7 linked regions of the Coturnix japonica genome follow. The protein of the gene in region 6 purifies or fractionates together with the protein of the main gene of each other region. This does not show direct contact. Links are inferred from orthologs where the notes say so. Each region holds a gene or a part of one and is shown on either strand. Other genes may lie near its edges. The genes, in order: IGF2BP3, EZH2, SNW1, HDAC1, SRPK1, DDX5 and EED.

Evidence for each region.
Region 1: the proteins of DDX5 (region 6) and IGF2BP3 fractionate together in Homo sapiens (co-fractionation; 3 studies listed by BioGRID, with this or other methods). This does not show direct contact. The link is inferred for Coturnix japonica from reciprocal best matches to the Homo sapiens genes DDX5 and IGF2BP3.
Region 2: the proteins of DDX5 (region 6) and EZH2 purify together in Homo sapiens (affinity purification with mass spectrometry; 4 studies listed by BioGRID, with this or other methods). This does not show direct contact. The link is inferred for Coturnix japonica from reciprocal best matches to the Homo sapiens genes DDX5 and EZH2.
Region 3: the proteins of DDX5 (region 6) and SNW1 fractionate together in Homo sapiens (co-fractionation; 3 studies listed by BioGRID and IntAct, with this or other methods). This does not show direct contact. The link is inferred for Coturnix japonica from reciprocal best matches to the Homo sapiens genes DDX5 and SNW1.
Region 4: the proteins of DDX5 (region 6) and HDAC1 purify together in Homo sapiens (affinity purification with western blotting; 5 studies listed by BioGRID and IntAct, with this or other methods). This does not show direct contact. The link is inferred for Coturnix japonica from reciprocal best matches to the Homo sapiens genes DDX5 and HDAC1.
Region 5: the proteins of DDX5 (region 6) and SRPK1 purify together in Homo sapiens (affinity purification with mass spectrometry; 3 studies listed by BioGRID and IntAct, with this or other methods). This does not show direct contact. The link is inferred for Coturnix japonica from reciprocal best matches to the Homo sapiens genes DDX5 and SRPK1.
Region 7: the proteins of DDX5 (region 6) and EED purify together in Homo sapiens (affinity purification with western blotting; 3 studies listed by BioGRID, with this or other methods). This does not show direct contact. The link is inferred for Coturnix japonica from reciprocal best matches to the Homo sapiens genes DDX5 and EED.

Annotation. Positions count from the first base shown.
Region 1 is NC_029517.1:28,565,151-28,569,154, forward strand, and holds part of IGF2BP3 (insulin-like growth factor 2 mRNA-binding protein 3), read right to left. Parts: intron 852-4,004; coding exon 567-851; intron 1-566. UniProt on the Homo sapiens protein: RNA-binding factor that may recruit target transcripts to cytoplasmic protein-RNA complexes (mRNPs). This transcript 'caging' into mRNPs allows mRNA transport and transient storage.
Region 2 is NC_029517.1:75,450,395-75,455,160, forward strand, and holds the start of EZH2 (histone-lysine N-methyltransferase EZH2), read right to left. Parts: upstream 3,232-4,766; 5' UTR 3,182-3,231; coding exon 3,123-3,181; intron 2,647-3,122; exon of another isoform or gene 2,435-2,646; intron 1-2,434. UniProt on the Homo sapiens protein: Polycomb group (PcG) protein. Catalytic subunit of the PRC2/EED-EZH2 complex, which methylates 'Lys-9' (H3K9me) and 'Lys-27' (H3K27me) of histone H3, leading to transcriptional repression of the affected target gene.
Region 3 is NC_029520.1:35,692,628-35,696,273, reverse strand, and holds part of SNW1 (SNW domain-containing protein 1), read left to right. Parts: intron 1-943; coding exon 944-1,060; intron 1,061-1,390; coding exon 1,391-1,532; intron 1,533-2,974; coding exon 2,975-3,071; intron 3,072-3,646. UniProt on the Homo sapiens protein: Involved in pre-mRNA splicing as component of the spliceosome. As a component of the minor spliceosome, involved in the splicing of U12-type introns in pre-mRNAs.
Region 4 is NC_029538.1:4,502,157-4,505,317, forward strand, and holds the end of HDAC1 (histone deacetylase 1), read right to left. Parts: coding exon 3,083-3,161; intron 2,963-3,082; coding exon 2,816-2,962; intron 2,714-2,815; coding exon 2,665-2,713; intron 2,580-2,664; coding exon 2,552-2,579; 3' UTR 944-2,551; downstream 1-943. UniProt on the Homo sapiens protein: Histone deacetylase that catalyzes the deacetylation of lysine residues on the N-terminal part of the core histones (H2A, H2B, H3 and H4).
Region 5 is NC_029541.1:496,630-501,419, reverse strand, and holds the start of SRPK1 (SRSF protein kinase 1), read left to right. Parts: upstream 1-1,919; 5' UTR 1,920-1,934; coding exon 1,935-2,211; intron 2,212-2,294; coding exon 2,295-2,355; intron 2,356-4,790. UniProt on the Homo sapiens protein: Serine/arginine-rich protein-specific kinase which specifically phosphorylates its substrates at serine residues located in regions rich in arginine/serine dipeptides, known as RS domains and is involved in the phosphorylation of SR splicing factors and the regulation of splicing.
Region 6 is NC_029533.1:7,254,077-7,257,094, reverse strand, and holds part of DDX5 (probable ATP-dependent RNA helicase DDX5), read right to left. Parts: coding exon 2,993-3,018; intron 2,898-2,992; coding exon 2,737-2,897; intron 2,572-2,736; coding exon 2,399-2,571; intron 2,211-2,398; coding exon 2,100-2,210; intron 1,892-2,099; coding exon 1,830-1,891; intron 1,743-1,829; coding exon 1,683-1,742; intron 439-1,682; coding exon 214-438; intron 1-213. UniProt on the Homo sapiens protein: Involved in the alternative regulation of pre-mRNA splicing; its RNA helicase activity is necessary for increasing tau exon 10 inclusion and occurs in a RBM4-dependent manner. Binds to the tau pre-mRNA in the stem-loop region downstream of exon 10.
Region 7 is NC_029516.1:170,394,541-170,399,124, reverse strand, and holds the start of EED (polycomb protein EED), read right to left. Parts: upstream 3,181-4,584; 5' UTR 3,157-3,180; coding exon 3,034-3,156; intron 1-3,033. UniProt on the Homo sapiens protein: Polycomb group (PcG) protein. Component of the PRC2/EED-EZH2 complex, which methylates 'Lys-9' and 'Lys-27' of histone H3, leading to transcriptional repression of the affected target gene.

The sequences.
Region 1 (4,004 bases), on a different chromosome or scaffold from region 6:
AGACCAATATATTTCAGTTTTCAGTTTCCCTTTTTGTTCCCAGAGTCTTATTATTACATCTGCTAAGTAAGTCTGGCATCAGCATCATCCTACAGCACTGCCTAATTTCATTCAAAGTGAACTGGAAACAAAAGAAGCAAGTATTTGAACACGCATCAAGGGCAGAATCAAGTTCTTCAATCTTGCCAAAAATTTCCTATTTGCACTTATTTTCATTTGTTGTGAAATTGTACATGCTTTACATGTTCCTAAAGTGACTACTTGCCATCCCAGAACAGAAAGCAACACTGATTACACAACCTGGAACGAAAATGTTTGGTCTCCAAAGACGATACTGCTGAGGAAACAGCAGCCTTCCAAAGGATATAACAGCATTATGGGGGAAGTGGGAGACAATCCCTTCCTGTAACCAAGAACATTTCAGTAACACAAATATTCCAGATTTAAAGAAGAAGAAAAAAAGGAAAAGAATCCCTTCTTCTATCCGTAAGGTTGAGCTTCCTTCAGAAACACAAACTGAGGCACAGCACACACAGAGCACAGAAGATGACACATTTATAACCTACTTGGACTGAGTCTGCTTTGTAATATTTCTGATGGTTGCTCCTTCTTTCCCAATAATGGCTCCAACAAACTGTGTGGGAACCAACATCCGTAGAGGAACGTCCGACTGTGGTTTCTGCCGCGTGGCTGCGCTGGGTGAACCCTGCCTTGGAGGGCCCCTCTGTCCAAATCCACGTCGTCCCTGGGGATGTTGCTGTGGAGGTTGCTGTGCTGCCATTTCATCGGGGATATAAGCGACTTTCAAGGAATAGTTTTCAAGCTGAAACCCGTTCAGTTTTTCTATTGCTCTGTTTGTTTGCAAAGGGGAGAAGAGGAGGGTGTTGGGGAAAAGAAAAAAATAGAAGTCACGGTGAGACCTTTTAAGAATGAGAATTCATTCAAGTGCAGCCTTCTGCACGTCCCAAATCAAATAATAAAAGCCAAAAGTCTGGTTCCTGGGTAAAAGCTTATTTTCAAATATTTATATATATATTTTAAATCTAAATCTTGACTGAATAAAGTAAAAGTTACCGTATTAAGAACAAGTTAGCTCTTGCTTGCTCTGGGCTTCCACGCACTTTAAAGGTTTTGCTGGTACAACCCTATCAGCAAAACCTCACAGGAGACAGGGCTTATATACTCAAAAGCATTCTTTTGCCTGCTGTAATTTAAATCAGTTTCCCAAATAGAATTAAAGCTGCACCAGAGGGAAAACTTTAGCTGATATCACAGCACCTTCATTAGAGTTTCTGCCAGCACAGCTATTTGGCTGGAGGTTTTTTGCACTAACTGACATGGCTACGACAGAAATAGATAGGAAAAACAGCTTGTGCTTCGTTCTCGGCAGGAGAAAAAGTACTCAAAGCCAGTCAACGGCACTTGAAACATCAGCTTACCAACATGTTATGGATTAAAAGTTAACCAGCAAATTAAAACTAAAACATCATTGATGCTCTGGATCAATGCAAAGGTGTTTTGAAGGCATTTATATGGTGTTTCAAGCTCTATTCTGCCCTTAGGACCGTACCATCCCACTACACTGAGTAAAGCAGGTCTTCAATATAGCACTAAACACTTGAAGGCCACTCGGACAATGGTTACATCTAAAAGAGGCCTCCAGCTACAGGAAGCTCTAAATCTGAATTTCTTTATGGATCAGTTGGCAAATCATTGCTAGTTTCCACTAGAAGGAATACCAAAGGTCAGGCACACTGCAGCAGGTGATTTTACCTAACACAAAAATACCCTGGTCACATACGTTCTAAGCAGCACCCACAAATAAGGTAGCTTCTATGCCCCTTTGTAATGCGGAGGACATTATGATATTACTGACAGGAGGGAGAAGCATCTGAACACAGGCATTTCAACTGAGCAAGGAGGCTCCACATGCACAGATCAACCTGACCGAGCCACTTCTCTACAACTCCTGGGCCAAAAGCAACAGATTTTGGAAGGTAGAAGACTTCGCATTTGCAAGCAGAAGAGGAAATGTCAATAAAATAGAAGATGCAGGAAGCAGGACGAGTAACTAAGCTACCCACAGCACACTGGTAACATGTTAGTATGAGCTTCATGCAGCTATTTGAAAAAGTTTTAGTTTCACCACAGAAGGCATGTTACTGACATTATCGGCAATGTGATATACTGATATCACTGGAACACACATTGATTTGGGGGTAGTTTATGAATGCTGGGCACAATCTAGGACAAAAAAATTGTAGAGATTTTGTTTAAAGGTTAAATTAAAAACACTAGTGAGAGGGAGGGAGCTTTGTATAGCATATTAAGGAATCCACCAACATTTTCTTTTAAAAAGCTCATAGTAACCATGCACTTTGTAGCAAGGTCTTGGAGACACAGAAACTGAATCTCGTTTGCCCCCCATGACAGCTTTACCCCTTAGTCTGCCACAGAGATACAAGGCCAACCATTTCCAAGGGCAGCTAGAGAAGCACTGCTCACCACCAAGGTGTCCCACTCGACCATCAGGCCCCTGGCCTCAAACCACTGCTGGAAGAGAGCAGCAGCCACATCCATAAGTTGTACTGGGACAATGACCCTCAGATTGAATAAGGAGGATAACACACACCGTCACATCTCAGGGAGTAAACCAGTGTCTGTGAAACTCTCCAGTAGGACAGTAAAGAGCTGACAAAATTAATTCTTGTCTTTGGAGCAGCATTTAATAAGGGTTGATAATAAATAAGGCCTAAGGCAACCCCACTGAACAACAAGGAAAGCAAAATATTGAATAACTGATCACTGCTCATTAAATACTTCTGTTCACCAAATGAGACAGAGGTCCTCTGGGAATGGAATGGAAGTGTAATTGCTCCCATAATGAGAGAATCTCCTACAGCATATGGCAGAAGAGAGCTCGATTAAAATTTGCCGAGGCCATTACAAAACTGACATTTCTGATCTTCTATTCCACAGACTTCAGAGAGCATTTTATTACACAAAATGCTGTGTTTACAAGAACAGAAAAGACTAAGCAGTACAACTAATGAGAGACAAACACACAGGACAGCAAGTTTCAAGTCTGAGCTTCAGCACGGAGTAGCAACACTGAAAAGGTATTTCACCAAAGGCTCTCTTGGTGGAGATATTATTTGGGGAAGGGGTATGAAGTCTTATGTAAGCTGAAAGACAGCTCTCACTGACTGCAAATATCTGCAACCTCTATTTATGGTTTGAGTTCTTCTGAAATCAGCCAAGAAAGAGAAGAGCTGTGGGGAAGGGGAATGGCACCATCAGCCAGTGCAGTTGCCCAGGCCTTGTTTCTTTTGGAATCAAACCTCAAGGTGTTGAAGAGATGAGCACCAACCATTTTGCCAACATGCTGGTAGGCAGCAGATTGACATTCATACCAGCTCGTTCCCTTCCATGCATTCATTTGACAAGTTCAGACACTGCTTCTTTCCTAAAACGCTTCCAGCTCCTCTGGCTTTAAAAGATCCTAGACCAGAACCCCAGCACTCACAAAATCCTACATGAAATCAGTGCAAGCAGCATCCCACTCAGAAGTAACAGGGGAGGAAAAGACTAGGCTTTTGTTTGCAGCCAACCTACAGACATATCATGTTGTCACAACAGATATTATACAGTAACAATTGACATATACCGCACTTCCTCTGGAAAGAATATGAGTTTTTCTGCTTAAAAGCAATTTAGAAGCAAGCATTTCTATGAGATATTCTGCATGACTTTAGTCAAGGCTACAGAAGAGCCCCACTGTGCCACCCCATTGCCATTTTTGCACCAAAAGACACATTAAATCCACTCCCTTCTGCCAAGTACATCCTCTCATACAACAACCACCTCAGAACCTCAAACTACAGCAACATCACCTCTGCCTTTCAGCAAGGGCCTCTTCTTCCCCAAACAGAGCTAAGGATACATATATATTTTTTTTTTTTTTAATTTTTTTTTAATTAAACTAAATTTTGCAACAACCACAG
Region 2 (4,766 bases), on a different chromosome or scaffold from region 6:
ATCACTAAAGTTTTCCACAATACTTTTGTTCAAGCACAACACAGGGCAAGCCTCTGTTAAATTTGCCTTCTGTCAGTATTACAGCCATTTTGAAAATCAACTTTCCCTGTTTCATCAAATGAAGATAACATCGTCTTTTAAAATTGTTCTTCAACTTTAACAATACAGCTGTGAAGTTAATAAAATGTATATATGATGTATATATCTAAAGAGGCAGAAAGTTCTTGTGAATGAATGGTGACAAGGAGAGGTTTTGTCTGTTTTTTAGACTAGTTTTCAGAGGATCTCTGAAACGCACCAGCTTCTGTGTACACTGTTGGCGTATGTGACATGCAGCTCATTCTGACGTATGTTGATTCACAGAAAGCAGCAGTTAGTTTGCACTCTCCATATATACAATTAGTACACTCACTAATGTACTACAAGAATTCCCTACTTGCTAAGCCAAAGTTTCCTTGTAGATAAGCTGAAGTACATTTACATCTCACCTACAAATGCCATATCATAGAACAAATATAAACCCATTAGAAGGCATATTTCCAACAAAGTCACCCACGATATTTCAACTCATTGAAAATTCTAGGTAGAAGAAAATACCATGTGGAAAGCAAAAAATTTTGAATTTCTAGTCTCCAGCCTAAGCTTATAGACTATTGCTTTATCTGATTTTAAACTGAGCAAAGACTTTTAATGTTCTTCTGCCAATAAGTATTTTCAGTGTATGTCACTTTCAGAGTAATATTTTAGAATGTCTAAAAAAGTATTTTATTGCATAAAACTTTTGAATAATACCTCCTAAAGTACTAGAACCGTGTTTTCTGAAAGACACTGTAAGCCTTATCTATATTATTATGATCTAATATAAAGCAAGGATAGCTACCATACACTGTGGACAAGTAATACTCACCCTTCTGAAGATGCGTTATTGTTATCACAATTAAACATTCCCTGAACTCTCAATTTGATACAGACACTGGGGACAAACAAAGAATGACCTTTTAATTTTTACAAGTCACAAAGAACCGGAATGTGCCAAGCCCTAAAAATAATAATAATAAATTAAAAAATAATGGAAAAAAAGGGGGGTGGGGTAGGGGGAAAGAGGAAAAAGAGAAAAAGAGAGAAAGGACTTGTATATGAGGAAATCTCCGTTTAGAAGTTTATCGTGTACTAAAAATACCAGTAAAGTCTCGCTGAAGTACTGAACGGTTGGATCTGCAATTGCTCGACTTGCACAAAGACAAACCTATCCTGCAACAAATAAACAGACCAAACAAAAACAAAACCAAAAAACCAAACAGAGAAAAAAACCAAGGCCCTAGTTCCAATGAAATATACTGTTTCATAACTTTGAAAAAGTATCTTGAGCCAGGTACAGGTTCATTATACCATTTTTGCTACATTATGCTGAGACTGCTTTTCTTTCTGCCCATTCCTAATAATTTTTGGATGTTCGTACTTAACACCAGATACACATGCGTTGCGCTACAATACATTGATTTCATCACCTTTGTCTGATCACACACACGCCTGTTGCTCCAGCACAACTCCGTCCCTTTCACACCTCCCCAAACATGCCGATTTCAGAGATCGCCCCACACACCCGCGCTTTGCGACATTAGGTCTCCAACTCAGCAGTTCCAGCTCCCTCCGAACTCTGGAGGGCCGGTTAGCCGAGCAGCGCCCTTCCCGACGAGGAAGTTGGCCGGACAGATTGACTCCCGCGCCGTCCCCGCTCTCCCGCACTCGGTGCCCGTGAAACTCGCCGGGGGCTGGAGAGCCCCGTCGCAGACTGGCCGGCGGGACGGCAACGTGCGAGGGCGAGAGTGGGAACGCTCCGCTTCCGGGACACCGCGGGCACATGGGGCTGCCGCGGACCTACTCGCACCCCAGGGCGGGGGCTACCGCCGCGTAACAACTTCTGCACCGTGCTTCTCTCTCGGAGGGGGCTGAGGCGGACAGAACGGACTTGTCTTCGCGTTTCGGACTCACCGAGACCTCACCTTGCGTACGTTTAACACACGGATCCCCCCGCCGACCCCTCAGCGAAACCGTGCCAGAGGCAGCCGCCACCACAGGAGGCCGGCAGGAACGGGGAGGAGAGGAAACAGCCGGCTCCTACCCGCTCTTTCTCCCGCACGGCGCCAGTCGCCCCCCCCGCCCAAGGCTCCGCTCCGCCGAGCGCGGCGCGGCCAGGATGGACAGAGCCAACTCAGACAAAAGGCACCGTCGGCTCCGCGCCGCTCCCTCCGCTGTCAACGGCTGCAGAGCGGGCGCGAATCTCGCTGCCGCCCCCCACCCCATCCCGTTCCTTCAAGCGCGACGCGGCGCGCTGCTCGGGACCGAGGCGGTCGCGCCCTCCCTGTCTGCCTCCCCACCCCCCATAACAAAGGGAGTCGGTTATAAATAACTGCTCCCGGCCCGCAGCCCGTACGGTGGTTGTGGTGCTGCTGCCGCTGCCGTCCAGCTCACCCGTCCCCTCGCTCCAATCTCGTGCCACCGCCACCACAGCCGCTTCGCTCCCCGACTCTTCTTCCCTCCTGCCTCCGGCTGCCGGATTCACCCTCCCGGACCGAGCGCCAAATACAGTGGCCCAATCGGTAACACGTTCATTGGCGAGAGCCGAGCGCCGCCCCGATTGGACGGACGCGGACGGAGCGCCCCGAGCCAATCAGGGGCGGAGAGGGGCGGGGAGAGGGGCGGGGTCCGTGCCCCACGTGCTGGCGGGAAGGAGGGGTGGGGGAGCTCTTTGTTCTCGCGCTGCCGCCCGGGCTGGCGGTTTTGTGCCCTCTTTGCCCGTCCGTGTAGCTGAGCGGGCAGCGGGTCTGGAGTTTGAGGTGCTCCGGCCGCCGCCTCACGGGGACTGGGGAGGGGAGGGAGGCGAGGGGTCCGACGGGAGCGGGGAGGGGCCTCGCGTCTCAGTGCTGCTGAGTTTGAATCAGTTCGAAAGTGGGAGCTGTAACGGTTTTAACAGTCGTGCTGCTGCTTCCGCGCGCTGCAGAGAGGGGAGGGGACGGGACGGGACGGGACGGGACAGGACGGAGAACTGGGAGAGGCGCGTCTGCGACCAGGCGGGAAGATCCAGGCGGGGACTGGGGGTGTTGTTGGCAGGAGCTGCTTACCTCAGCACGGCCCGCTCCCTGCCCGTCGCTTCCGCGGCGGGCTCTCTCCTTCCCGGCATTGCGCCGTGCCGAGCGTTGGCTGGCTGAGTCACTAACCAGAGTACGTGATGCATCCTCCTGCCGTGTCATCTGACCTTTGCGCACCCAAACCTAGCACGTATCTGTCCTTTTGTTTCACGCTGTTGCTCACGAATTTTGGTGCCTTGCTGTTCTGTAACCAGCATGGATTCTTAACTGTCAAAATCCCATTGTGTCCCATCTTGGCAGTGATGGTAAATCACAGCAACAGCAAGGTGTCCATTCTGCATAAGGCTGGGATCCTGTTGCTAGTGATACACTGTCTCTAGCCTAAGGTTGCTACCATTTTCCCTCGTTTTTATTCTACGACTCAGTCACGTTGACAAGGAGGTACTTTAAACCTCAAGGATTCATTCCCCCTTAGCCTTCTTTTGTCTCACTGTTTGGCCACTGCAGCCCTTCTTTGTTGACTGGAAAAACAAAATTGCCAAGATAAGATCATGGTGGGAAACTTCCATGTATGCTTGTCACCATCTCTCCTTCCTAAGCCTCCTGTGTTCAGCACTACTTCTGAGGTAGAATGGATTGTGAGCCTTGTACCCTTACTGTCTGTTACCAGTGTTTCTCACCTTCCCTTGCAAATCACTTCTGATACATTCAACTACCTTGTCTCATCTTTGTGTGAAGCCCAAAAATTAGCACTGTCCACCATAATGAGGTTCTGAATGATAAAAATCCTATGAGAGAAGATCATTGACACAGCTTCATGCCCAAATCTTTCAGCTGCATTATAGGCCAAACAAGGATCAGAGTTCTTTTAATGTGGAACAGAAATTATTTCCTCTTATGTTTGCATGTCACGAAACGATATATTGTCATACTCTTTCTTTGATTCTACTAGAGTAGATGACCTTTTCCAAGATTACGTTAAAACTATCAACTTTGCAAAATGTCAGTCATTTCTTGAAATTCAGCTATTTAAATCTATTCTGCTCCAAGATGGCTGGCACCACCAAAATGGCTACCCAGTCTCTTCACAGCTTGGAACTTGTAGTTTTTTTATTGTTAGAATTGCACTTCATGAGATCTTATCTTAGTCTATATATATATATATATATATATATACAACTCCTGTGCTAAATAAGCATAGCGTAACTTTAAGCAAGCACTATAGTCAGTCACAAGGTGAAAAAAAGATGTGTGGAGACAACACTGAACTCAATTGCAGTACACGCTTCAGTTTTTGTCTTGCACAGAAAGTTATTCACCTGCTGTACGTGAAGCTAATGCTTACTAGAAAATAAAACACATTTTGAATGGAACTACTCTTTCTGTTTTGCACTCTGTGAAAACAATCTTTCCATGCTGCATTTCAGTTCTAGAAGTGATGAATCCTCAGTGAGGATCTCCACGAAGTGTCAATTTTCTGATCATATGGGCTATTTAAAATAACCTGGAGAATTCTGGCAGCTTGTTTCTTTTTTTCTGCACGTGGATGCTTAATGTTGTAATGAGCTGCTTATAGACTTTCTGTTTTCATGGAGTAAACCACCCAAACATTTTTCTGTTCTGCTGCATTTTCATGATTAAAGAATGCCTGAACACCAATCTGCATTATGAAGAGGC
Region 3 (3,646 bases), on a different chromosome or scaffold from region 6:
AAGTCTCTGGAGCTAATACAGTAAAGCCATCTGATCTGAAAAAAGGAAAGGGAAGTTGTTAGAGAACCAAGCAGGTTTCTTTTAATACTACAGTCTGAATCTTCAGCAAGTTATCCTTCTTGCCTTCCTATATTCATTTTCACCACAGGCTAGCTTAGCTAGTTCTTGTTTGAGTAGATGTGTCTTGTACCTTTGGTTGTATCAGCAGGTAAGTTTATGTTCAGAGAGAAGGGAAAACTTAGAACATGCTGAAGTGACCAATCTAGTTCTAGAACTTTAGCTTTTGTTGTGAGGCAGCCTCTTCAAATGGAGGAAGGACAAGCTGCATGCACTGATGTTATTTTTCCTACCCCAACACAGCTGCATCACTGGGACTGACACTAATTAGTAGATCAAATTTTAGGTTACAGATGCTAAAACCAAAGCAAAAATGTTGTAGAGTTATCTAAGGGATCTTAAAATATCTATAGATATTTGCAGATTTCAGCAGGCAGCATCTAGAGTCTCTTGCTTTTGCTTACAGCCTTGGCCCTTAATTTCTCATTTTTGAGTCAGCCAGTCTCTTAATAGGTTTAAAAACAGTTCAGGGGAGTCGAGTTTTAAATACAAATGGTAAAACTACTTAGAGAGTAGGAGAGCTGTCATCTGGAATTCTTAAAGCAAAAGGTGGAGCTTATTAATCACAAATTCATTCTCATTCATACTTGAACAAAAAATGTGATCTAGATTTGAGGTGGGGGTGGAATTGCTTATTATTGCCTGGTATGAATTTGGAGTACGTCTAAAGAAGGCCCCTGGAGGGGGGCCTGATGATACAATGAATGATTGGCTGACTTCTGTGATAGTGTATTTTTTTTGTTGTTGTTTTCTTACCCAATAAATGCAATACAAGTTTGCTATTAAAAGCCTTACTAATTTCTGTAACTGCTCATCTCCTCTTTAGGGTTACACCATCCCATTAGACAAGCGTCTGGCTGCAGATGGAAGAGGACTGCAGACTGTTCACATCAATGAAAACTTTGCCAAGCTTGCTGAGGCTCTCTATATAGCAGACAGAAAGGTCAGGTGGTTGTTTAAGCTGTTCTGTTTCATGTGGTTGTACCTTTATTATGTGCTTGATTCCTTGGGAAAATCAGCTGGGAGAGTGCTATAGCTTTTTGGTCTGTCCTGCTTCTAGGCTACTGTAACGTTTTTATCCCCAGTGTGTTTGAATCAGCGGCTCAGTGTGGATTAAATTATCGCAGGTCATGTCTGTTGTTCCTCAGCTTGAATTTTGGTATTTTTCTGGTTTTGAACTTTAACTATAGGACTCAATTCTTCCCATTTACCGTGTAACTCCGGGACAGAAGATCTGCATCCCAGGTGCTAACTAGGGGTCTTATGTGTGCAGGCTCGTGAGGCTGTGGAGATGCGTGCCCAGGTGGAGAGGAAAATGGCTCAGAAAGAAAAAGAGAAACATGAGGAAAAGCTCCGAGAAATGGCCCAGAAAGCAAGAGAAAGGAGAGCAGGGATTAAAACCCACGTTGAAAAAGGTACATTTTGTTGCTGAGGTTCTGTGGAGTCGTTTGGTTTTTTGCACTCTCTGAAGTGTAGGTTTGCAGAAATAACCTGAGAAATTAAAATATCCAAATTCGTTTGCTTAATTCATGGGGATCTGAATTTCAACGTCAGGTTGAAGGAGGTTGTTGAGAAATTGATCACTGTATCAGTACAGTGGATGGATCATTACAACATAAGGGCTTTCATGGACTGTTGTAATTTGATTTCTTTTTCAGAAAAGGCTTGTTTTGACTTCATCTGTGAGCACTAAATGATCTTTAAGTTTTCAAAGATGGTAAACGCAGTATTCTGTCTCTGATGTTGTTATAATTGGTCTTAAGGAGAAGTAGCTTTGGCTACCAGGCTCAGAATCTAATAACCTAACTAAATCATAGCCATTGTGGTGTGTTATGTCTTGATTGAAATGACATTTCAGAGATCAGGGTGCTGAACTTACAAAGCAGTTCTCTTAATGTCACTTAAAGGTGGAGAATGTGGTCATATACTGCAGCTGGGATGGACTAATCTGTTTCCAGCAGTACAGGCTGAGAACTAGCAGGCTGCAGAGCAGTTGTGTTCAGAAGCACCTCTGGGAGTCCTAGCGGACGATGTGCTGAAGAAAAGCTATAGCAGCACGCCCTGGCAGCAGTATTCCTAGGGGTATGCTAAGCTGCATCAGCAGGAGTGCAGCCAGAAGGACAAGGGAAATAGTTGTTTTTCCTTTACTGGTCATCTGCTAGACTGCATCTGGAATAGTGCCCACTTAAGGGACTCTCAGTTCAAGACAGACATTGATGAACAGGAATGAGTTCAGTGGAGGGTCACCAAAATGGCCAGGTGGCCAGAGCATCTGTGTGGTGAGATGCTGAGAGAATGAAGCATGCTCTGCCTGCAGTAGAGAGAGCTTGATGGTAACCTAATGTCAGCCTTCCTATGGAGAGATCAACAGCTACACTGTGGAAGAATGAGATAGTGGTTAAAAGCTGAAGTGTGTGCTTCCACCAGTGTACGCAGAGAAACAGATTTCATCATGAGGACAAAAAACAGTGGAACAGGTTGTCCAGGTGCTTGGAAGATGCCTTGTATTAGAATGACATTTTTATACTAACATGTAACAGAGAAGAGGGTATGACACAATCATCTGCAGCTGTTGGGGATGTTAATTTGTAGGTGGACAAGAATTCTGAGCTCTTTAAAGTTCAGAAAACATAGTTGTTGTGTATGTGTGCTGTAACTCTCTTGTCAAGGACGTTTAATTGCTTGTGGCGTGAGAAAGTTACTGTTCTCCTTTCTAATTTGTTTAAAAAGTAACATATGGTGCTAAGGATCCCTTCTCTTTTGGAAATGAATATTGAATCACTGTGCCAATGTCTGTGCTGTAGTTTAATTCAGACTTGAGTAGCTGTCTGTAATAAGCAATCTTGCATGTGTTCAGAGGATGGAGAAGCTCGAGAAAGAGATGAAATAAGACATGACCGACGCAAAGAGAGACAGCACGACAGAAATCTCTCCAGAGCAGCTCCTGATAAAAGGTGAGTCACAAGCAAAGAAGCTGCTTCATTACTGTACTAGTACAGGATTCCCCACTACAGAAGCTATTACATACAGCTTTCTCCATTTCCTTGACATCAGTGCCTGAATTTTACCTTGTGGAGATGCTCACTGGTGTGAAATGGTTTTATTGTGTTAGAATATGGTGGTGTTCCTGTGATTAGGGTTTATGCAGGAAATAGATTGCAATCATAATATTGAATTAATGTATAGTATTTTAAGTTGAAAGGAAGTGTGGGGCTACCCTGCGGTAAGTGTTAGGCATTGATATAGCACTTGTTTGTAGAATCCATGTCTTTGGAAACTTAAACTTAAGACTATATGCAGTCAGATGTGTCTGACTCAAATGTTGTGAATTTTCCAGATAAGAGAAAAGGTTTTAGTTATTTATTGTCATTTTTGTTGTTTTGGGTGGGGTTTTTTGTGTTCTTTTAGAGGGAGGAAAGGGTTGCTTGGTTTGCACATCTGCAGCGTATTTGGGCTTGATGACTGTGTTCACAGCACAGAGGTTGGTACCTGCACCTTTAGTGAGACCAAAATACAATCAGTGGATTTT
Region 4 (3,161 bases), on a different chromosome or scaffold from region 6:
GTGCTGAGCTGCAGCCCTCGAGCTAAGATAAGAGCTAAAATGTCTGCGTGCAGCACATCCTCCTATGGACAGAAGGCCACGTACAGGCGGGATCCATCCCCATTGATGGTGGAGGGAGGGATAAAAGCCCAGTGCTTGCAATGTGGGTGCTGTGCTTTGTCGGGGTGTTGTTCCTGCTGGGCTCAGTGCACCCAACTGAGCTGCAGGGCTGAAGGAGCTCCAGCAGAGCGCAGCGGCCGTGCAGACGTGGCAGCCATTTTAAGGCGGCCGGGGAGGGAAAAGGGATGCAGCTGCACGTCGGCGTGTAGGACAGCAATGGGGCTGGGAGTGCAATGGGACTGAGTGCAATGGGACTGAGTGCAATGGGACACATGGCTGCTCATAGAGCAGGACGGCTTTAAGTGTGAGCTGCAGCTCCTGGGGCATCACTGCAGCAATGAAGGGCTGTGGCACTCGAAGCTTTTCCTCCTCTCCTTATGAGGCAAAACCACCCGGCTCATTTAATCGTTATTTTTCTAATTAATTGAACAGCAGATTGCAAATAAAAACCACAACCCAGGCACTCATGCAAGAAATAAGCACCCAAGTGCTTTAAAGCGCCATGTAACCCATCGTCTCTATGGATGATCATGGTTGCCTTCAGCAGCAGGCAGTGCAGCATTAACAGCACACAAAGGGCTGCGATGGGAACGGCCCCGTGTGGGATTGCAGTGTGTGTGTGTGTGTTGGGGGCTGAAGGCTGCGCTATAAAATTGAGGGAAATAAAGGGAATTTCAACACCTGCAGCAGGATCTGCTGCACGCTGCATGTTCCTACACACTGCTTTGGCCCTCAGCACTCAACCAACACATCCACGTCCATCACCCTATAGCAGGGGAGGCTCCTCTTGCAGCACACTGTGACTCCACCCCGCGCACAAAGCAGCTCCAGCTCAGACCAACCATAGAAATGGACGTTTTATTACAAAGGTTCTCCAAATTTAAAATAAAAGCATCTTTAAAAAACCACAATATATTTCCCCCCCTCCCCTCCCCAGGACACAAAGATGCACCCATCCCTCTCGCTTCACATACAAACACTGAAGAGCGGGAGTGAGACGTCACTCGGGTTCCAAGAGGCTACAAAAAACTGATGGTGGAAAAAGGGAGGAAAAGCACGTAAAAAAATAAAACATTTCAAAAATAACCTGTGTTAAGTTAGCAGCATTATTAGAGTTGAAACCAGCAGCAGCAGCCCCGTGGGAGGTACAGACCCTCTTATGGACAGAGGAATCGCCCTGAGAAAGGAGAGCAGCGAGTCACAACTGCCTGCAAAACTTGTGCAAAGCTGGAGCTCTTGGTGGAACGCTCATCTCACGCTCAGCTGTACAAAGCAAGGTGTGAGAAAGGCCGGCTCTGAGCACAAAAGACCTTTGGGTGTGAGATAACGTGTGGGAGTAGGAAGAGGAGTAGTTCTAGAAACGTACAGAGCCCCATCTGCTGTTCCCTCGTACAGATAACAGCGCTGCCTGCTGATAAAAGGCTCTCAGCATTTACTGGCCTTGAGAGCAAAGAGAGGGAAGGATCCGCTCGAAAACGTGCCTGCTCCAGGAGGAGATTCTTAGTAAGTGGCACGTGGAGCAGAGGCACCAGCTGGGCCCTGCCCGTCTGTCCTGCTCTGCTGTGCTTTCAGCAAGGACACGGATCAGCACTGAAGCAATTACAGCACGTGTAGCTGAGGGCAGCAGCAGAGTGAAGCAGGCAGCCAGGTGGGCAGTAACTCACCTCCCCCCTGCAAAGAGGGGCACAGCTCTAGGAAACGAGTGTACAAAGACACACAGCGCTGCCAATGGGATCCGCCACATCCCGGGAAGGGTCCATCCCCACAGCTCTCTACCTGCAGGGCTCTGGGCAGATTCACTCCATCCACCTCCTGATCTGCCTGTCAGCTGTTTCACCTCTCTCCACAAGTCTGCTGCAGGAAAGTAGCCAACTCTGTCCAAGAACTGCACTATTTGACCCTGAGAAGCGGCACCGGCTTGTAGTTATTGCCGTGGTGGAATCAGACTGAAGACCAAAGGACGCTCCGTCTCTCACAGGCTTCATTTGGGAATTCACATCTCCCACAAAAACAAAACAAAACAAAAGAGAGAGAAAAAGGAAAAGAAGCAGAAAAAAAGCAAAAGCTTCATGGCCATCTTCCCACCTAACCTGAAATGCAGATGCTACTTCTACTTAAATTATTCATTCTTAAGGGCGGTTACTTCAGAGGAGAGCAAAGAAAGGAAGTGATTCTTTCTTAAAGACACACTGAGGAGCTGGTGGGAGGCAAAGAGCAAAACTTCCCAGTTCCAATGCTGGGCAATGTGGGTCTCTCTACTCTGCAGTCCTCCCTGCCTGCTCCCAGCGGAGTGCAGCGAGGAATAATTTACAGTTCTCAAGTCATTTATATATTTATATAGAAATATATACAGAAACATATATAAAATATAAATCCTGTGGAATGGGAGGCAACCGGAGAAGCTAACCTACGACAACCACGCACTGACAGGCGCCGTCCAGCCGCAGCCATCTTAGGTGGATTTTGCCTCTTCCTTCACCCTGTGGAAGGAAGCAGTGGAGAATCTGGTTTAAACAAATACAAACTCAGACAGTGAAGTGCCAAGTCAAGAGACACCGTGCTCACCCCTTGGGTTCAGCTTTCTCCTCTTTTGCTTTTTCCTCTTCTTTCTCATCTAGGAGAAAAAAATAAAGGCATGGGAGGGCAGTAGGAAAGCACACATCAGGCAGTGCTCTACACAGCTGGGAGGGCTTCCAGCCATAGCCCTCGTGCTTACCCTTCTTCTCCTCCTCCTCCTTTTCCTCTTCTGTTTTCACACGTTTGGCCTTCTTAAAGTTGGCAACGTTTTTGCGCCCTCCTTCCCCTTCATCTTCGGAGTCAGAGAATTCTTCATCACAGGATATTCTCTTATCAGAATTGCGGACTGAGAGTGAAGGGGAGAAGAGGTCAGAAGATACTGCGCACTAATGCTTGGAGATGTACAGGCTCTGTGCAGTGCACTTCCCAGCAGAGCAATGCAGCCATGCCAGAGGCAAGCACCTACTTGAAATGCGCTTCTCAGGATCTTCTTCCTCTTCATCTCCACTGTCTTCCTGAACAGCATCCTCAGGAATTGGCTGCAT
Region 5 (4,790 bases), on a different chromosome or scaffold from region 6:
AAAAGCATAGCCCTCATTTCCAGATTCTGTTGACTCTACAATGGCAGCCTTGATTTAAGGTGAAATGGCATTTGTACCTGGACAGGTTCCACTACAAACCAAAGACTTGAATTTTTTGTTAGCTTGTTGAGCAGAGCTCAGTGTCTTTCCTTCCTACCACAAGACTGCAGAGTGGAACACTGGGGGACAGCTCGGACATCAGCGTGTTAGTTTTCAAATTATGAGTATTCTTGTTTCAAAACAAATACTTCACTGGGAGGAAGTTCAGACAAACCTGGTCGTTTTCCTCTAGAGCTGTACAGTGCCTCAGCTCCTGCATGCATACACAATGCTGCTGTGATTCACCAAGCACAAATCCCTGGACACAGGCTGTGCAGTGACAGAGCACGTACTTTATGGCCAAGGACTCCACCTGTACCTCTAAAGTCAGAGTTGAAAGGCCTGCCTGCAGTAGTGTGTTTGGAGGCAGTTTGATGTTTTCACCTGACCTAGTTGCAACAAATGCAGCTGTTTTGTGCAGACGGCAACTTTCTAATGTCCTTCTGAACTAGTATAAACCCATGACGTTTTCCTAGAAAGGCATGCTGCAGAATCCCAGGCAGCTTTCCCACTGTGCTGAATTACAGGCTGCAGATCCCAGAACATCACCATGCAAAGTGTGTGTAACATTGCCAGCCGTGTTGGCATTTTCTCAACATATTCCTTTTTTCACACATGGCTGCAGAAAACATAAAGCAGTAGAGAAACCTCAGGAGCTGCCCAGAGTGTGGCACAAACAGTTCTTAGGGCAACAGGATGCACTGTGTGACACTGTGTGGGAGCTATGAGGAAGGACCAGGTAAACTGGTTATGTATGGGCATAGTTTGTGGTGGCATTTGCTCTGCTTCAAAAATGAGTGCCAGGCTGGCTGTGGAAAGGTGGCTGTGTTTGGGCCACCAGCCCTCAAAGGGCCGTCTCAGCATCCCTCTGAGGGCCAAATTCACTGAAGTGTGATGCATAGTATTGGACAGGGGTGTGAACATGCGCTGTGAGGACCAACTGCAGAGTCCCAGTGCAAATATGGGACAACAGTTCCCACAGAAGGAACAGGCAGCCAATACACTGAGCTTGCAGCAGTGTTTGTGGTCTATTGCGACTCCTTCAAGGAAGGAACTTTCTTATGTGGCTGCTGTCAGATGTGAGCAGTGTACTCCATCGTGCTCAAGGTCTCAGTGTTACTTGTAGCACAGTCGTTGTGGAAGGCTGAAATTTGAGAGTGAGGGCATCCTTCTCCACGTCGCATCATTGAATTTAATTCTGCTCTGACACTAATGATTATTCCAACCCACATTTCTGATGCCAAGCCTACGAGGGCAGCTCCAAAAGTAATGCCTCCTATTTTGTTACATTGGGCCACGATGCCAAAGGCAGATAGTGGTGGTATGGCAATAGAGGTTCAACCTTCCCTGCAATGTTCTGTTACATTTGGTCAAGCACGACATAGCAGCAGGGGGGCAAAGTGATGTGTGTGACACGAGAGTGCAAATGAAGCCAAGGTGTGTCCCTGAATTCCTCCGGGTGGCAGACATGGCACTGCTTGGCACTCGTTAATGTTTATGGGCACTGAGCAGTGGCTGTGAGCACAGCGTGGGGTGCGTGTCAGTGGGTCACCTCTGCTGTTGCAGATTGTTGTGGACACGGCAGGACAGCTCTTGTTTATCACAGGCAAAAACGCTCAGCTAGTGGCATTAACTATACCGAAAAGCAGCATTTTGTAGGTGAGAATTTGCTCTATCAAACATTATTGTGCTCTTCGTACGTGTTGAAGCGGCCGTGGAAATAAATAGGATGCATTACTTTTGGAGCACGCGTCGGTTGCTGACGTCACAACTACGACGATGACGTCACGCGCGGTGTTCCCCTCCCTCCGCCGCGCGCGCCGCCGCGCGCCACGATGCTTTCGCGCCCGCAGCCGTCGGAGCTCCGCCCCGCGCCGGGCGGGAGGGGGCGGAGCCAGCAGCGCGGCGGGGCGGGCTCCCCGCACAGCTCCGCCTCCAGCGGGGACAGCGGGCACGTGGACGGGGCGGGCGGCGCTGCCGGGCGAAGCGCCAAGCCGCTCGCACCGCGCATGCTCCGCCCGGCGCGGCTCGGCGCGGCGCAGGGTCACGGCGCAGTGCGCAGGCGCGTGGGACTCCCTGGGCTCCCGGCGCTGGCGGCCATGGAGCGGAAAGGTGAGCGCCGCGCGGCCTGCGGGGGGGCCTCGGTCCGGCGGCTCCGCGCCGTCCTCACGTTCTTTCTGTCTCTTTCCTCTCAGTGCTGGCGCTGCAGGCCCGGAAGAAGCGGACCAAGGCCAAGAAGGACAAGGCCCAGAGAAAGTGAGTGCGGCCCCGCTGCCCCTCCTCACCCATCCCGGACGGGCTGCTCGGGGCGCTGGGCCGCTCGTGGGGCGGGAAACGGAGCCGCTTTGTCCCGGTACCGGAGCCCCGCGGCCCCTCCCGCCGCTCCCGGAGGTCTCGCCCTCCCCTCACGCCCCTTTCTTCCTCCTATTAAAATCCTCCTTGGCGCGGTTACGTCGCTCTTTGACGGTGCTGTTTTCCCGTGGCCGCCCTCTGGCCGCAGGGATGTTACGGGGCTTTTCGTGCGCTGAGCTTCACCGCGCGGATAGAGAAATGGAAGGATCTGAACAATGGCCGGCTGCGGGGCTCGTCGCACGCTGCATTCCGTGCTGCACGCGGACCCGGTTCGGGTGTAAAGCCCGGTCCGGTGCTGCGTGGTGCTGGGAGCGCTTTGCTGTCCGCTGGGTGAGAGCACAGAACTGCAGCGTGGTTGTGTTGGAAGGACCTTAAGGATCAGAGAACCACAGAGTAGGTAGTTGGCTTGGAAAGGCCCTTAAAGGTCACAGCCCCATAGAATGGTTGGGTTGGAAAGGACCTTACAGCCCCTTCCGTGCTGTGAGCCGAGTGTCCCCTGAGCTCAGGCTGCCCAGGGCCCATCCGTGGCCTTGAGCACCTGCAGGGATGGGGCACCCGCAGCTCTGAGCAGCAGCCAACACCTCACCTCTCTCTGGTGACGGATTTCTTCCTAACATCTCAACATAAACCTGCCCTTCTTTAGTGCAAAGCTATTCTTCCTTGTCCTGTCACTATCAGGCCATGTAATGGTTCCTACATAAAAGCTTTGGTGGTGCAGGGAGTTCTGTGTATCTTTCTTTACAGCGTGTTATTAGTCACTTCCTCTGACAAATCGTGCTGTTTTAGAGTTTTTCTGTTGCTTTCTGTCTCCAACAGACTTCCAGTTGTTCTGAGAGAGCTCTGGAGAGGTCAAGGGCTGAACCAAGCTCTTTGGGAGATGTGCATTGTATTTCTACGTATGTACTTTGGGCTTTACCTGGTGCAATAAAAGCTCAACCTCCAGCTTTGAGGCACAGCACCCCAACAGTTATGCTATTTAAATACAAAGCGGCTCTGATTAAATCTAAAATAAGCTTTACTGGGTTGTTGTAAGGCTCCCTCCATAACATCTGGGCTCGAAGCCACAAGGAATGTCTCTTTAACATCTTATGTTCAGTGATATTTGATTGCTTACAAGCTTTTCTGTATGAAGTTAGTAAGAAAGTGTAGCACACGTGAGTTTTGAAAGGGTGAAATTGGTGTTAGGAATTCTCTAGTTATGGTTAAACATAAAAATACAAAACTAAACAGTTTATGGATTGAACCATCAACCTTTCAAGCAGCTGGATCTTGAGGTGCGTTGAGGTCAATGGTTTTGCCTGACTGTCAGGAATGCAGGTTTTGGCATGGCTTCATTGTTTGAAGCAGTTTCTGACCCCTGCAGAACTCAGTGCTGGCAGGCAGGTGTGTTGGGCACAGCATTTGTCCCCTCACTGCAAGAAAGACATCAAGGCCCTGGAACATGTTCAAAAGAGGGCAACAAAGCTGGTGAGGGGTCTGGAGCACAGGCCTTATGAGGAGAGGCTGAGAGAGCTGGGATTGTTCAGCCTGGAGAAGAGGAGGCTCAGGGGAGACCTTATAGCTCTCTATAACTTCCTGAAGGGAGGTTGTAGTGAGCTGGGGGTCAGCCTTTTCCTCGTGTCGTTAGGGATAGGACCAGAGGGAATGGCTTCAAGCTGCGGCAGGGGAGATTTAAGCTGGACATTAGGAAGTATTACATCTCAGAAAGGGTGGTCAGGCACTGGAATGCACTGCCCAGGGAGGTGGTTGAGTCACTGACCCTGGGGGTATTCAAGGAACGACTGGATGTTGTGTTGAGGGACATGGTTTAGTGGTAATGGATGAATGGTTGGACTGGATGATCTTCTAGGTCTTTTCCAACCTTGGTGATTCTATAATTTGAACAAGGGTCTGGAGCTGTGCGTTGCTCCTTTGTGTTTGCATGTTGATTTTTCTCCTGTGAACTAATCCCCACATTTTCGTGCTCTGGTCTGCTGTGAGCAGTGGGGAGCCATGCAATGGCTGTTCCAGCAGCACAGGCTTCCATCAGCCACAAGGTGGCTGCTGTGTGTTCTATGGAGCTGGTGTGCTGGAAGCAGTGCAGGTGAGCAGCAGGTTTCTGTTTGGCTTCTGAGTCCTCGGTGGTGTTTGGAGGGGGAGCGTTGCTGGGAGTTAGCTCTGCAGACAGAGCAGCTGTTCCTGGCTGAAGCGAGGCTGGCACTCACCACTGTTCTGTTGGAGTGTCATTTCATGTACTGTAAGTCTTGCATCATGTGAACGAAAGCCCAGGAAGTGGGAAGATAGATACAGGTGGGAAGATTTGATACAAAACAGCTGCTGTTTGACCAAAAATACAAATG
Region 6 (3,018 bases):
AGCCTGAAGCCCATCTTTGACATCAGCAGCCACAGCTCACAAGATGCTCTACAGCACAGCATTGTGAGGGCAGGTTTTGCTCACAAGCGTTTTAACACCTTTGGAGGTCACCATAACTGGCAAGTAAGCTGGATATGAATCCATTTTTGAGAGGCTAAAGATTGCCAGTTTGTTCTGAGAGAAAAGCTGTGCATCGTTAACAATAGCACTCACCTGAACCTCTGTCTTCAATCAACTGAAGCAACTTAGGGTTGATGGCTTGATTAGCCTCCCGAAGCACAGAGATGAGGTCATTTACTTGCTTAATATTGTTAGGAGTAAAGAATGTATATGCTGTGCCTGTTTTGGTACTGCGGGCAGTTCGTCCAATTCGGTGGATATAGTCCTCAGAGGAGTTAGGGTAGTCATAATTGATGACAAATTTCACATCTTCCACATCTGTAAAGTGTTGCAGTGTGGCAAAAAGCGAGGTACAAAGTTTTGCACACCACAACAGCCAAATCGAAGATAAACGTTAGACAATAGTACTTTCAATGAAATAATGGCTGCAAAGAACAGTGTTAGAATTATCCATTTCTGCACGAATATTGTGGAAGAGGAAGATATGCACACTCCGTCTGTTCCCGTCTTATCACCCACCCTGTGATCCAAAACCTTACCATAAAGGAGTATGCATTTGCTTGTCATTCCCAACTCAAGAGTCCCCTTTACAAATCATCAAGTGACATCTGAATGCTTCTTGCAGTAGGGCCACTAAAGCTCACAGCAGCCTCTTCATGTGCTCATTTGAGGACCTTAGAGTAAAAACATACAAGGTCCTTCACATACACACTCATTAGAAGCTCAAAAAAAATGGGCCACACTGCTCGTCTTGCCAAGACCTTTGAACTGCAGCTGCAAGAAAAACATACCTGTCCCCCAAAAGTCACCAAGTTGTTTTTATGCACTGTCTCGTCTAGGCAAGCACTTCCAAGAAGCCAGCGTTCACTTGAGAATGTGTCTCTCTCTGGCAGGTCTCGACATGACGACTACATATAGGTGGAGGAACTTCGACTTTCAAAGGCATTTAGAAAAGCCAATGCTTTCCTGCCCCACTTGCTAAGGTGAGAGGTGGACTTTTGCTCAGATTTCATGTGCCAGTACTCACCAATTTGTACAAGGCTTAGTACGTTTTAAAGCTGCTCTCTCCATTTCATGGTTAGAAAAAAAATTTCACTGAACATTCAAGATTTTTCTTTTCCTCAACATTTCAAACTCACCGAAATTCAAAGACCCACAGATCACAGCAGACAGTATGCACAAAACTAACAGTACTGCACCATGGCAAATCATGCAAAGCATGGAGAGAAGAGAAATACCAGGGCAAAGTGAACTGTGAATGAGGCTGCTTATTTCATGAGAGAACAGTTTATGGGGGAGTAGTTTAAAGGATGAACTTTGCCTTTTGAAGATTACTGGCACACAATGCTCTCAGTTTTCACCTCTCTATTTGACTGGAAGCAGCCAGCCGATCACTTCCACTAGTCCTCCATCCCCCTCGAGTCCTCCGATTGTCATGCCTAGGCCTTGCCACAAAGACTGCACCTTTATGTGAAGAAAACTTAGAAAAATGCAGAGGTTAAAGAAAGCAATAGACTTTCTTTAAATAACTTTGGGCAACTGGCATTACGAGTTGTACTAACCTAGACCTCGGGATGCAACATCTGTAGCAATCAGGATTGGTGCTTTTCCATGTTTGAATTCTGTAACACAAGCAACTCTTCATCAGTCTCTTTGCATCAAATACCAGATAGACAGCAGCCTGCTTACCAAACTGCTGAAATACTCACCATTTAGAACCCAGTCTCGCTCCTGCTGGCTTTTATCACCATGAATACCCATTGCTGGCCATCTGAAAATACAGAAGTTGATTAACCTCAAATAATTGAGTACTTCCATTATTATGACAGCTACTGGGACATTCTCAACAGCTTCTGGATTTAGCCTTTCAGCTGACACCTGGTCAGACAGCTGGACACCATCACAGGTGGTCACTAATTAGACCAAGCGTGCTCTTGATTCTTTTGGGGTGGATCATTTAAGTTCGTGCTTCAACTTACCCATCTCTCCTCATTTTCCTGGTAAGATCATCACAACGTCTTTTGGTTTCCACAAAAACAATTGTCTTATTTTCCTTCTCACTCATTATTTCCTCCATCAAACGAATAAGCCTGTCATGAAGAGATAATGAAACATTCACTACCCACACTGTGCAATTTCTTTCCCCTTTTAACATGGAGGGCTTCTAGCAGTATTAGATTAGCATTTAATACCCACTAAACTCATCTCGGTTGATACAGAAGTTAAATCAACCGTCAGAAACATACTGAGTGTTTTACCTCCCCCAGTAACTACTCACTTGTCGTCCTTCTCAACGTCATGACACACATCAACAATCTGCAGGATGTTGTGGTTTGCACTCAGTTCCAATGCACCGATGTTGATGTGGACATATTCTTTTAAGAAGTCTTCAGCCAGCTGCCTGACTTCCTTTGGCCACGTGGCACTCCACATCAGAGTCTGCCTGTCAGGCTGGAGAGAAAGATTTTATCAGTACAAAATTAACATATCATTAAGTAAAACATAAACACAGAAGTCTACCCAGAAGTCTGAGCTAACTGCGCTATCCTTATCCTTGTTTTAACAAACACTGCTGTTTCTGTAGTACAATTAAATGCAGCTACCATCTATACTCACTCTTATCTGATCCACAATTTTTCTGATTTGAGGTTCGAAACCCATGTCAAGCATTCTATCAGCTTCATCAAGCACTAGGTAAGTGCACCTCCTGAGGTTGGTCTTCCCAGCTTCTAAGAAGTCTATAAGTCTTCCAGGTGTTGCAATGCAGATTTCCACACCTAAAAAAATTACAAGAAAAAAAAAAAATCAACCAGTAAGTCAGATAAGCAGTTTTCGCATCACCTCACACAGATGCATCCAGATTTATCCTTACCTCTTTCTAGATCACGAATTTGTGGT
Region 7 (4,584 bases), on a different chromosome or scaffold from region 6:
TAGGAATATGGACTAAGGTCAGTCATTTCCTTCATACCGCATCCTAGCAAAGCTAACTTCCCCCTAATAAGCATAACCAGGTTTTGCAATCTTTACATTTAGCTATTTCTTTTCCTTTACCCTAAGCAGTTTCAGAGCCTGCCAAACACTGGTCTCCTAAGAGCACTTGCTGTCAAGAGTCATAATACTTCACAGAACTGAAGCTTCCTCTGGACTAATCAGATGCAGTCAATACAAGAACACATTATATTGGTATAACAAAATACAACCACGTAACTACAACTAAAACATGACCAACAAACATGCCTTCAGGATACCTGTGGAGTACCTGGGGAGGTGCTGGCACTGCTGCCCAGAGAAGCTGTGGATGCCCCATCCTTGGAGGTGATCAAGGCGAGGCTGGATGGGGCTCTGGGCAGCCTGATCTAGAGCATGATTTAGTGGTTGGCAACCCTGACCATGGCAGAAGGGTTGGAACAAGATGATTTTGAGGGCCCTTCCTACCTAACTACTCTATGATTCCATGAAAAAAGAGACTTCTTGCAAATCAACACTGTTACGTCCACTTTTAAGGAGAATCCAGGCCTTTCAGGAGCAACAAAGCTCATAACAAAGTTTTAGAAGGAGACTTTCCACCTTTGAGACAGCCTATAACAGACACCAAAGCAAACCTGAGAGCCTCTGTCACCACATCACACCCAGATTCACAAATCATTAAGGATTGTTCAGCCTGGAGAAGAGGAGGCTCAAGGGAGACCTTATAGCTCTCTGTAACTTCCTGAAGGGAGGCTGCAGTGAGCTGGGGGTTGGCCTCTTCTCTCATGTAATCGGTGATAGAACTAGAGGGAATGGTTTTAAGCTGCGTCAGGGGAGAATCAGGCTGGACATTAGGAAGTATTACTTTTCAGAAAGAGTAGTCAGGCATTGGAATGCACTGCCCAGGGAGGTGGTGGAGTCACCGACCATGGGAGTGTTCAAGAAACGCTTGGATGTGGTGCTGAGGAATATGATTTAGCCTGGAAGTATTGGTAATGGTTGGACTAGATGATCTTCTAGGTCTTTTCCAACCTTGATAATTCTGTGATTCTGTTAGAAAAATCATTTAAGATCATCTAGTTCAACTATCAACCCACCACCACCATGCCCACTAACCACATCCTTCGGTGCCGCATCTACTCTTTTTGAAAACCTTGAGGGACAGTGACTCCATGACCTCCTTGGGCAGCCTGTGCCAAACACCGAAACAATCCCTAACACACAGTTACCACACAGCCCCTCCTTCCTTCTCTATCCCTTCCGATGACCTTAATGTTCTGCAGAAGCTGAATGACAAACGTGTGGCCTGCATGTCCAGTGATGTTCAGTGAATAAGGCCCAGCAGCAGTGGCACGCAGCACCTCAACAGCAGCTGCTCTTGCACAGGTTATGGGCAATGTGCTCCAACGCCCATACTGAGTGCTCTAACCAAGAAAGACACCATGCAGAACTCCTATGTCATTAACTCCCCCAGTTCACCAACTGCATAAACCGACTACCAGATTGCTCAGACGATCACACAGAATCACAGAATTGTAGGGGTTGGAAGGAAACTCTAGAGATCATCGAGTCCAACCCCTCTGCCAAAGCAGGCTCCCTACACCATGTCACACAGGTAGGCATCCAGGCGCGTCTTAAATATCTCCAGAGAAGGAGACTCCACCACCTCCCTGGGCAGCCTGTTCCAGTGCTCCGTCACCCTCACTGTAAAGAAGTTCTTGCGCACATTCATGCGGAACTTCCTATGCTGTACTTTCATACCATTACCCCTAGTCCTATCCCCACGCACTGCTGAAAAGAGACCAGACTCACCACTATGGCTCCCACACCTCAGGTATTTATAAACCTGGATCAAATCCCCTCTCAGCCTTTGTTTCTCAAGGCTAAACAGACCCAGTTCCCTATGTCTCTCCTCATAGGGGAGATGCTCCAGGCCCTTCACCATCTTAGTGGCCCTCCGCTGGACTCTTTCCAAGAGTTCCCTGTCTTTTTTGTACTGGGGAGCCCAGAACTGGACATAATATTCCAGATGAGGCCTCACCAGGGCAGAGTAGAGGGAGAGGATCACCTCCTTCGACCTGCTGGACACGCTCTTTTTAATACACCCCAGTATGCCATTGGCTTTTTTGGCTACAAGGGCACACTGTTGGCTCATGCTCAATCTGTCGTCCACCAGGACGCCCAGGTCCCTCTCAGCAGAGCTCCTCTCCAGCAGGTCTTCCCCCAGCCTGTACTGGTGCATGCAATTATTTCTACCCAAGTGCTAGACTCTACACTTACTTTTGTTAAACCTCATCCGGTTTCTTACTGCCCAGCTCTCCAGCCTGTCCAGGTCTCGCTGAATGGCAGCACAGCCTTCAGGCGTGTCAGCCAATCCTCCCAACTTCGTGTCATCAGCAAACTTGCTGAGGGTGGTCACTATCCCCTCATCAAGGTCGCTGATGAAGATGTTGAACAAGACCAGACTCAGTACAGACCCAAATCAGTTGATCTTTTCAGCTGTTAAGTTACTTGGAATCAATCTCACGACCTTTGGTTTAAATACTCTGATTTAGTGCAGTTGAGAGGTAACAGCCTTCATCCCTTACAGCCAATTCCTGCTGACAGCAACTTATGAGCACACAAGTGCATGGAACCTGCTTTAGCAGAGGGGTCGGACTGGATGGTTTCCAAAGGATCCTTCCAACCCCTACAACGTTGTGATTCCCCCCTATTCCTTCATTTCCCCAAAACTCTGTGTGCACAAATTAACACCGAGCAACGTGTTAATGAACACCCCACACCGAGGCAGCGATGAAAAACGACAGATATACCTAAAATACAGATTTTTGCTCGCTACATCGCAATAAAAACCACTTAAAAAGTGACATTGAAAACCGCTCACACCTCAGGGCCTCCAATTCTCCCTCACGCACGCGGGGTAAAGCGCGGCCCCTCTGCCTCATGCTCCCGCCTCGCCACCGCCACCTTCCCGCTTACACCCCAACTCAGCCTCACGTTCTCATCTCCAGACAGATCCCCGGGGTTGCTGTTCTCATCGCTGCTCAGCTTTTGCTTCTTAGCCGGCATCTCTCCCGTCGATGCAGCCGCCGCCGCCGGGGTTTCTCCCCGCTCAGACATCTTCCCCGCCCACCGCCCACCGCCCACCGCCACGCAGCCGTAAAGCGCGGCAGGGGGGGCGTCGCAATGCTTTGCCGTAAAGCAGCACCGCGCTTGGCTGCCCCTCAGCTGCCACACTGCTGAAAAATCCGCCTTCCCGCGTCGCGCGGGCGGTGTCGCCCATCTATTAACTCAACTATTAATTACTCTTATTATTATTATTATTTATAATCGAATGTATGAACATAATAAAGCATAATGACACTTTATACCGTTATCTGTGGCCTGGACCAGCACTTTCGAGCACGTTCGTGGCATATAAAGTAGCCCGAGGTTCTGGTTACCACAGCTCCTGTGTCCTGTGAGGAGCACAAAGTTCCTCATCCACAAAGTCGTTTTTGGTTCTTTTGCTCTCCAAAATGCTCTATAGAGAAATGAGGTGTCTGTTCCCTGCCCTGTCACCCAGGCAGGGCTGGAATGAGGGGGAAAAAAAAGTACTTTCATCTAAAAAATGCTGTTGGGAGAGAAGAAAAAATGGCCTGTTTCAATGCCCCATGGCAAGTTCCTACCACTTGCAGATTGTAAATTAAATACTGCAGTTGCCAGATGATGATTTATTTCTTTATTTATTTTCCTAAAATCACATGTCCCAGAGTCATAATAATAACGAACAGTGGAAAAACAAACAAAAAACAAACAAAAATAAACCAAAAAATAAACAAAAAAATAAAAACAAAAACAAAACCTATATATAAACATATATATATATATATGTATGTATGTATATATATATATCTGATAAATAGGGGAAGTAATCTGCCCGCAGGCACAGTGCCTTATCTGCTTCTCTCAGAGAAGAAAAACCAAAGCTTTCCTCCCTGGAGGAGGCATTCCAGCCTTGCAAAGTGATTTCTTGGAGGGCAGTGACAGAAGTGAACCTTGCCTTTGTATCTACAATTTAATCTGGCATGAACTTCAGAGATAAGGGGGAGGAGAGGTGCTTAAGCTGGTGTGTGTACTGTAGTGTTTTTAGCAATAGTCCCTCCTGTAGGCTCCACTGGTGCAGTGTATAATACAGACCAAAAGGCTGTAGATCACAATTAATAAAAGCTCTGGGAACTTGCAGCTGCCCAAATTCATGCACTAAGATCAAGGCTGTGATAAAAGCGTTTTACACCTTTGTGAGGACATACACGGAGAATGAACTGACTTGTTCTTAAAATATGACGGGATATTTTTAGATTGGCATCTTAATTAAGACTAAATCACGACTGTGATTTAGAAATGAAGGGCGGGCACGGAGTTTTCAGCAGTGAGTGTTCTTAACTTCTCATCACGGATGACCTTGAGCTAATGGAGAGAAGACAGCTCCCCTTCATTTTGCAGCTGTCACCTGACATCCTCCAGATGGCCAGCTACACATTCAGCTCCTCCACGTTTCACTAGCTC